Linked DNA regions of Oryza sativa Japonica Group. The protein of the gene in region 1 interacts with the protein of each later gene in a pairwise test. Links are inferred from orthologs where the notes say so. Each region holds a gene or a part of one and is shown in the gene's direction. Other genes may lie near its edges.

The links.
Region 2: the proteins of two-component response regulator-like PRR1 (region 1) and adagio-like protein 3 interact in a two-hybrid assay, tested with the Arabidopsis thaliana proteins (2 studies listed by BioGRID). The link is inferred for Oryza sativa Japonica Group from reciprocal best matches to the Arabidopsis thaliana genes TOC1 and FKF1.

The regions. Positions count from the first base shown.
Region 1 is NC_089036.1:25,050,395-25,054,967, forward strand, and holds the start of two-component response regulator-like PRR1, read left to right. Parts: upstream 1-1,623; 5' UTR 1,624-2,249; coding exon 2,250-2,409; intron 2,410-2,540; coding exon 2,541-2,702; intron 2,703-2,786; coding exon 2,787-2,920; intron 2,921-3,044; coding exon 3,045-3,212; intron 3,213-3,417; coding exon 3,418-3,499; intron 3,500-3,598; coding exon 3,599-4,449; 3' UTR 4,450-4,573. Other genes in the region: glutaredoxin-C4, chloroplastic, read left to right, coding at 1-74, 263-342. UniProt on the Arabidopsis thaliana protein: Controls photoperiodic flowering response. Component of the circadian clock. Expression of several members of the ARR-like family is controlled by circadian rhythm.
Region 2 is NC_089045.1:22,117,010-22,121,541, reverse strand, and holds the start of adagio-like protein 3, read left to right. Parts: upstream 1-1,577; 5' UTR 1,578-1,670; coding exon 1,671-1,975; intron 1,976-4,532. UniProt on the Arabidopsis thaliana protein: Component of an E3 ubiquitin ligase complex that plays a central role in blue light-dependent circadian cycles.

The DNA.
Region 1 (4,573 bases):
TCTTGCCGATTGGACTGGACAGAGAACTGTTCCTTGTGTCTTCATTAAAGGGAAACATATTGGTGGCTGTGACGGTGAGTTCCTTGTTCTTAATTTGTCGTGAACTTGTGATACTAATGTCATCGGACCAACAACATTTTCATGCATTTTTATCGCTGTTTAACTTTTTTCTGAACAAGAAAATCGCTAGAACAAGGGTCACTTAGGCCAGAGTTTTTCTACACTATTTTAACGTCGATCTTCATTGATGTCTTTCAAACAGATACCATGGCGATGCACAAAGGAGGGAACTTGGTCCCTCTGCTGACGGAGGCAGGAGCAATCGCCACTCCTTCCCTGTAGATAAATACCTTTGCCAAAACGTGTTTGTGGTGTGTCAATGTCATAGAATAAAGGCGAATATATATGGGGACTTCCACTGTCAGAACAACTTATTGCTGATAGTAGTAGCTTTGGGTGACTTTCAAGCCTGTATGCAGCACTACTCTAGCTAATAACTCATTTTGTATGATTTCATTGGTAGCAATAAATATGATTAGTGCGTCCTGTGAATGAGACTGATGACATCGGCACTCCAAGCTCCTGCTACTGGCTGCCAGCCTGCCTCCAGATTTTTGAGATCGAGATGTTGTTGTGTCGTCACTGATACCAACCATCCACTCCTCTCGGTGGAAGAAATACAGCCAGTGAACTGGAGGAAACACCCTTCGTCAAAATGATTGTTTTGCCTGGCCATAGTTCAGAGCTGCAATCAAAAATCTTGGTTGTGTTTACCATTCTGCTGAATTACTGAATTACAGCGCTGGTAACAGATCAGTAAACAAACGACAGCGCTGTTAACGCTAAACCCATTTTGCAGCATCGCTGATTTGCTGCCGGAGCCCGGAGGCCACCACGTACATCGCCAGTGGCAAACAAGAAAAGCAAAGCTACAGAAAAAGCGCTAGGCCGGCGCCACGAGCCGCCACCACAAGTCCACGACCAGTCGCTCTCCGGATCGGCGTAGTGGCAATGGGCATCCCAAGTTGCCAACACGGGGAAAAAAAAAACACCCCCCATCCAGCTGCTGCTCTCTACCGGCCACTCGTCTCGTCCGGTAGCTCAAAATCTTTTACTCATCAGCCCAGCCACCACCGTATCGCCATGCTGCCCATCAAGGTCTGTACTACGTGAAAACGTGAGAGCCGCGTTTCCCTCTGGATTTTTCTCCGCCTTGGCACGTCCGCGGTGGGCTGGCGCGGCTTTCGTCGTGATCCGCAACGGAGGGCGGGGACGCGGCCACCGTGGACGCCGCCGCACGTACGTGGGCGTGGCGCTCCCACTCCCACGGCACCACCACGGCACCACCTCCCTCCGCCTCTCGCGTCGTCGTTTCCACAGTACTACTACAGTAGCGCGTCTCCCTGGCGTTCGTTCGCTGGCCCCCAGCTCGCGCGCGTGGCGGCTCCCGTATCGCACGGCCACGGCCCCACCACGCCCGCCGCCCCTAATCGCATCCGCGATTAAGATATTTCCGTGCCAGGTAGGCGTAGATATTTTCTCACCGAAATCACACGCCGCCAGGCCGGGCCCATCTGGCTTAACCACGCCCGGCTCTTCCCCTCCATCCAACCTGGCCCTCCCACCCACGGGGCCGCGGCTCGCGGCTCGTCCCGTCCCGTCCCGTGACGAATCCATTGACACCGGCACACGCACACGCACACCCGCACCGCGCGACGCGAGTACGCGACACAAACCGCTCGCGACGAGCCGTTTCGTTTATTTTTACACCGCCCCGGCGCGGCGTGACGAGGCCTTTTCTTCTTTCTTTCATCTCTCGCCGAGCCGAGCCGAGCCGAGCCGCGTGCCCCACCGAGAGAGGAAAGCAAAAGGTAGGGGGAGGAAAATATCCTGTGCCAGTAGAGCGGACACCAACGCCGCCACCACCACCGCCGCCGCCTCCTGAATAGATTAGGCGCGGATAATGGTGCGGGCCGGACCGCAACGCGCGGCGGAGGAGGACGCCGCCGGCGTCGGCGGCGGGTGGCGGCGGTAGCACACTGCTTAGCCTCTGGGGGCGATACTACTGGCGACGGCACGGGATATGGAGGAGGAGGCGCCGCCCGCAGATCCAACAACCGCTTCGTCCTCCTGCGTCGTCTAGTCTAGGCGCCGGCAGCTGCTGCTGGCTGCTGTGCTGTTCGTGCTGATTCGGACGCGTCGGCAGCTGGTGACAAGTGGCTAGGGGGGGAATCCGTGCGGGTCGGGGTATGGTGGGCGCCGGCGAGGGGGATCGCGTTGGCGGCGGGGCGGCGGTAGGGGGAGGGCAGCAGTTCGTGGACCGGAGCAAGGTGAGGATTCTGCTCTGCGACAGCGACCCAAGTAGCTCACGGGAGGTGCTCCGCCTCCTCTGCAACTGCTCATACCAAGGTCAGTTCAGCTTTGTCTGCTTAGTATTTGGTTTGCTCTTATAATTAAGGATTAAGATTGCTTTAGTAGATGAATTAGCAGTTCTATCACACCTTCTCGCATGGAATGATACGTCTTTGTTTTTGTTTCAGTGACTTGCGCCAAGTCTCCGAGGCAGGTGATCAACGTACTCAACTGCGAGGCGGGGGAGATCGACATCATCTTGGCCGAGGTCGATCTGCCCGTCTCCAAGTGCTTCAAGATGCTCAAATACATCGCCAGGAACAAGGAATTGCGCCACATCCCCATCATAAGTAAGCTGTCCTCCTATTCCTCTGATGCCCATGCTCGTAGGGTTGTTGTAGTGACCATCCTCATCTTTGATGCGAATTATGCAGTGATGTCCAACAGAGACGAGGTCTCTGTTGTTGTCAAGTGCTTGCGTCTCGGGGCAGCCGAGTACCTGGTCAAGCCACTGCGCATGAACGAGCTGCTGAACCTCTGGACCCATGTGTGGCGGCGAAGGCGGATGGTAAAGGGGACTATGTTGATTCATCTTCAAATTCTGTGTTGAAAAGCATGCTCTAAGCTGAGATGGCTGTGGCGTTGCTGTAGCGTGTATGAGTTGATCTTAAGTTGAATGTTGGTGTTGGCAGCTTGGTTTGTCGGAGAAAAACTTCTTCAATGACAATTTCGAGTTGGCGTTATCGGAACCTAGTGACGCCAATACCAACAGCACCACTCTTCTCTCGGATGACACAGATGATAAGCCAAAAGAAAACATTAATCAAGAAACAAGCACCTCGAATCAACATGAATATGAGGTAACCAATCAAGTACTAGTTATCCTTTTATATTTTGCTGTCCAACATACTACTTCTCTATTTAGTATCTTTCTACCTTTGTGTTCTGTTTAGATGCTAGAGCATGCCTTTTTGCCTCATATGTTCAATTGATGATGATAAGATGCTGAATTTTTTGCATCAGTCTACTTGTTAAATGCCCTTGCATTTCTTGATATGTTTGCAGTCTAATCCTTCTGATGCTGAGCCTAAACAAAAAGGCACACCAGAGGGTTTACTAGTCTCTACTGAAGGCGGCGACCAAGCTTGTAAGTATCTTGAGCCTTAAACCATTTCCTTTAGCTGATTTAGCAGATCCCCCAATTGAAGAATAGTTTCTAAGGTTTATGCCTTTGCTTTTATGCCAGCATCTCCCGGAGTAATGTTTTCACGTCCAATAAAGACTAACTTGAGGGTTGCTGAGTCTTCTGCTTTTCTAGCTTATGTTAAGTCAAGCACCCCAACTACCAGCTCATTTGACAGCGAACTACAAAAAGGTGGAAATCGGTTAGACTCTTCGGATCACAGGGGTAATTTCTCTAGTACAACTGACAGAAGTGACACTGGCACTGATGTAAATATTCGGGATAAAGAAGCCTTTGAGATGCCAGTGCAATACCCTGTGGTATGCTTTTCTTCCTCTAACTTGCATCTGGAGCGAAGCAATGAAGGCCAAAATGATGCTTCAGGAACTCCTCCTGTATATCATTTTCCCTTTTATTACCCAGGGATGATGGACCACGGTATGACACATCCTCCGGTGCAAAATTTCCAAGGGAACATAAACAACGCTCAAGTGCATACACCACAAACGTTGCTCCCTCAGTATAATGTTTATCCCCAATGTCATGGTGTATCTATGATGCCACCATTTCAGTATAATCCTGCTGGTATGAGCATTCAATCAAATCAACTGCCAACACAAAATATGTGGCCACAGGCATCAAGCACACCAATGCCCGAGGAAACATGTAGTCGGTCTGAACGGAGAGCTGCAGCACTTGCCAAATTCAGGCTGAAAAGGAAGGAACGTTGTTTTGACAAGAAGGTGAGGTACGTGAATAGGAAGAAACTTGCTGAAACAAGGCCGAGGGTGCGAGGGCAATTTGTTAGACAGGCAAACTATACAGATATAACCAGCACTGGAGATGATATCTCAGAAGATGAAGATGATGATCCATCCTCCAGGGAGGTAGAGATGGTTTCTTCTCCAGAGTAGTTTGAAAGGTTTTCCTATATGTAAAATAGAGTGCAGATGATTACTGCTCACTTTGCAACTCATTAGATGTAGGCAATACATTTCTTCTGCTTTTAACTAGGCAATACATCCACTCGCTCACACA
Region 2 (4,532 bases), on another chromosome or scaffold:
GCATGGAATCAGGATCAAAATGTTCCATCTTAAAAGAAACATCCACACAATAAACTTATATTCGATGAATCAAACTACGAAAATAAGTGTGCATGTTATAAACTTAATATTTAGGTATTGTGTTGTATTTTCGATGCTGAATTAGTCGTGTCCAATAAACGTCAATGAGAATACTTCTTTTATCACATTTTCTCTGCATGTGTAAAAAACATAATTGAGATTCAATCAAGTGGCATATAACCGCTAGCTACTTCTGGAATCTTTGGCTTAAACCGTTCAAATTTTCACTTAGATTCTAAAAATTTGTAGATATTAAATCATAAGCTAATAAATCTATTTTTTAATTCTAACTATTAGTTATCCACCATTTGCTTCGAAATTGCTTCCCAGAATTTCGAGCTTCCCAAACAAACCCTAAGTCTTTTATTTAGCGTACGCAATTATTAGATTCTACTATTTTTTTGAGGGGTAATTAAATGCTCTATGCAGTACTCTAGTACAAGAAGAAACCAAATTTTCACTAATCCCTCTAGAGCAAGTTCAATAGTAGACTATAAACCAACTATATACTTATGTAAAGGAGAGAGAACAAGGGAAACGATGAGTCCCAGCTCTTATGCAAGAGATAACTATACACATTCTCGTAAACAAATAAATTAATTACATATAGAGAGGAGAAGAACATAAGATACAACCTGGTAACTAACGGTCCCGTCATCGTTTGGCTTTTCCACTAATAAGCCAAAACAGTTTATTAGAGAATAAAAATAAATCTGTAGACAAAATTTTTATATATATGTTTTTTCTGACTTAAAAGCCAATGCTGAAAAAGAAACTACATTGAAAATATCTCAAAATTAAATTTAAAAATTTAAATTTTGACTTTTTCTTGACTAATTAGGCCATCCGATGGGAGCCTAATATATTATATATATGTTAACTCTTAGATTAATTTATAGATAGTGGTTTGCTCTACTTTTAGGCTCCGTTCGGTAGTATAAGTTCCCAACTCCTCCTCGTTTTCCACCCGCACGCTTTTCAAACTGCTAAACGGTGTATTTTTTTGTAGAAAGTTTTTATACAAAAGTTGCTTAAAAATCATATTAATCTATTTTTTTAAAAAAATAGCTAAAACTTAATTAATCACGCACTAAAACGCTGCTTCGTTCCCAACCCTCGCTTCCGATCAGAGCCTAAACTTGCTCTTAGATTTTTACACCCCTAATATCTGGTCTTTTCCTATAAAAAAAAGAGAGAGGTGGAGAGGGAAAGAACAAAAAAAATAATTACGCTAGTGAAGCTGACAATCTGAAGATACTCTCCCTTCCACTCCACGTCTCCACCTCTCTCACGAGTGGAAAAAGCAAAACAAGGTGCGCCGTTGGATGCTTCCCCCTCCCCCCCAAGTGGCCCCCATCCGTGCGCCGTCCTTTTGCCGCCCGCGCGGGCCCCACCCCCACCACCACCCCCCGCGAGATATTTTGGTGGCAGATCACGTAATTAACCCCCAACTCCCTGCCCCTTCTCCCCCACCCACCCCGCGCGGATATAAACCCCGCCGCGAAAATATCTCCCCCACCGTCTCATCCCAGCTCAGCTCAGCTCTGCCTCCGCCATTTCGAAGCACATCGAGGAGAGAGAAAGTTCTAGAGAGAGAGGAGAGAGGAGAGATGTTTGATGCGGGGGATCGCGGCGGAGGCGGCGGGGTGGTGGCGGTGAAGAGGATGAAGCTGTGCGAGGAGGAGGAGGAGGAGGAGGAGGGGATGGAGGTGGATGAGGAGGAGGAGGAGGTGGGGTGGGTGTGGAGGCCGCCGGGGGGGCTAGCGGGGGAGGATGAGGCGGCGGCGTGGGAGGGGAGGGCGGCGGCGATCGTGGTGTCGGACGCGGTGGAGGTGGATTTCCCGGTCATCTACGTCAACGCCGCCTTCGAGGCCGCCACGGGGTACCGCGCCGACGAGGTCCTCGGCCGCAACTGGTGAGCCCTCGTGCGCGCCCTGCTCTTAGCTGTTCCCCGATCGATGCCGCTCTGCTCTGATCTGGTGTGGTTGGATGGGGATGGCGAAATGCTGCTTGTTTTTTTTTTTTGGTGCTCTCGATTCGATTCCAGCTCGATATGTTGGCGAGATTGATGGTGGTTGTGGATGGCTGTGTTGTTGAATTTAATGAGCTTTTGCCGTGCAGTCAAACCTTGAGATTTTAATGCGCATTTGTTAGAATTAGGGGGTTCCTGTACAGGCGTACGGTGCAGAGTGCGCACCACTCTGTCTCTGCCTTAATGCTTGCAATTGCGGCGATGATGCGTGATTCCTGACTAGTTGCTGTAAATTTTAGCATTTTATCCTCACTTTTGATTGGTTGTTTTTTTTTTTTTTGAAATTTATAGATGGGTATCATGCCAGTATGAGATTTAGCCAGAATTTGAAGTGTACTGTTTCTGTTAGACCATCTGTATTTTAGAGCCAATCTCTGAGTAATGGTGACATTGTTGATTTTTAATCTACACATTAAGCACAGCACGAGCAAGCCAACAATCGAAGTAAATTGTAGATAATGTTGTTCAAGTACAGTAAAAGCCTGAAAGGTGCTTACGCGATCTAGTTTGGATATATTCATGTTATTGCTAAATTTATGAAATGGCTTTTGAAACAAATTTTGTGTATGGAAGTTCTATATCGCATATTTGCATTGGACCTTAGAGGCGAACAACGAAATGTTCATATATTCTTTCTGGCTCTGGGTCATTTTTGTTTTCTGGTGGGAAGAGGCTGGGCAAGCAAGGGTGATGGCTACCCGTTAGATATTTTCCCCTGATATATCTTCTCTTCTCTTGCTCTACTAAAGTAGCCACTTGCACATAGAAAAAGGGATGATGGAAGAATAAACTGTAGCATATATTGTGAATATAAAATGAGATGGGTAGGCCATTAATTGGAATATAGCACAGTTGTCTGTAGCATGTGGGTACAAAAATTTACAACAGGGAGCATCACGGTTTTAGCCAGGCCTTTTTATTTTTTACCACCGGGCTACCAATTAATACTTAGTAACTTTAGTCTTCCATTGGCATATATCATATTTAGTGGTCGCCTGCTAGTGCTCTAGGAGGATATATTATACTGGATTAGTAAGACTTTTTCCTCCTCTCTTGGATGGTACTGGAAAATAATTAACTATGAATGTATTCACATGACAAATTAACATTGAATTTGGACACCAACTGTGAAATTTGATCCGTATTAACAATATGGAAAGCTATTATTGGTGACAACCTTATAAGTGTACTACAGTACTACACCTGCAAGGGTTTTCAGTTGACAAGTAGCTGATTATGGTCAGTTTCAGAATTCGGAACTCAATTTTGAGCATAAATGGAAGTTCTGGATGTAATATGAAGATAAACTTTGAGAAATTTGACTTGGGTTGTAAATGTTTGAACTTGATTTTCGTGCTGTACTGCTTAAGGCTGTCTTCAGGAGGCAAGGTTTACCTCCTGACACGGAAAACAATGTAAGCGATTAGAGCGAGATTAGTTAAGTACTAGCCTAAAAAAAATTAAAAAATGGATTAATATGATTTTTTTTAAAGCAACTTTCCTATAGGAAAATTTTGCAAAGAACACACCGTTTAGCAGTTTGAAAAGCGTGCGCGCAGAAAACGAGAGATGTGAGTTGGGAAAGAAGGGGAAAGTCTTTTAGGGACTCATTCCGTAAATGTCGTTTTACCATTTTGTGGTGATTTGCTCTAATCGTCCACGTCGAATGGTAAATATTCTTGTGTGCAGTCTGCACAATTAGCCTCTCTTTTGTCAGATTATGAAAATTCTTGAAAAACAATTTATTGAATTGCTTACATGATGCAAGAACTTGTCTCTTATATTACATTTTGACATATCATGCCATCACAAACAATTCCAAACATATTAATTTTATTTCCAAAAGATTCATTGGATGAGTTTAGTTAAACCTGTGTTCCATCATAAGTACTCCCTCCTTCCCTAAATGTTTGACACGGTTGACTTTTTTAAACATGTTTGACCGTTCGTCTTATTCAAAAACTTTTGTGAAATGTGTAAAACTATATGTATACATAAAAGTATATTTAACAATAAATCAAATGATAGGAAAAGAATTAATAATTACTTAAATTTTTTGAATAAGACGAACGGTCAAACATTTTTAAAAAAGTCAACGGCGTCAAACATTTTGGGATGGAGGGAGTAGTTTGGACATTCAGCAATCAGCATAAGCTCTAGGCATTGGCTAACATAATTAAGTATTCAATGTAGGGTTTTTTTTTTTTTTTTGCATTTCGACTAAAGTCCAACAAAGCATAAAAAAAATAGCTGGACTAGTTTCTGCCTAATGTTTAGCAATGTTAGCAATTAGCACTAGGTTAACAGAATACATTTGAAACCAAACAAAAAGCCACATTCTTCTTCGTTGTCTGCGACAAAGCTAATAGACAAATGCATGTTCTCTATGCTTGAATTGCTGTTATTCTACTATCATTTTTCATTTATACGAGTTGTTCAA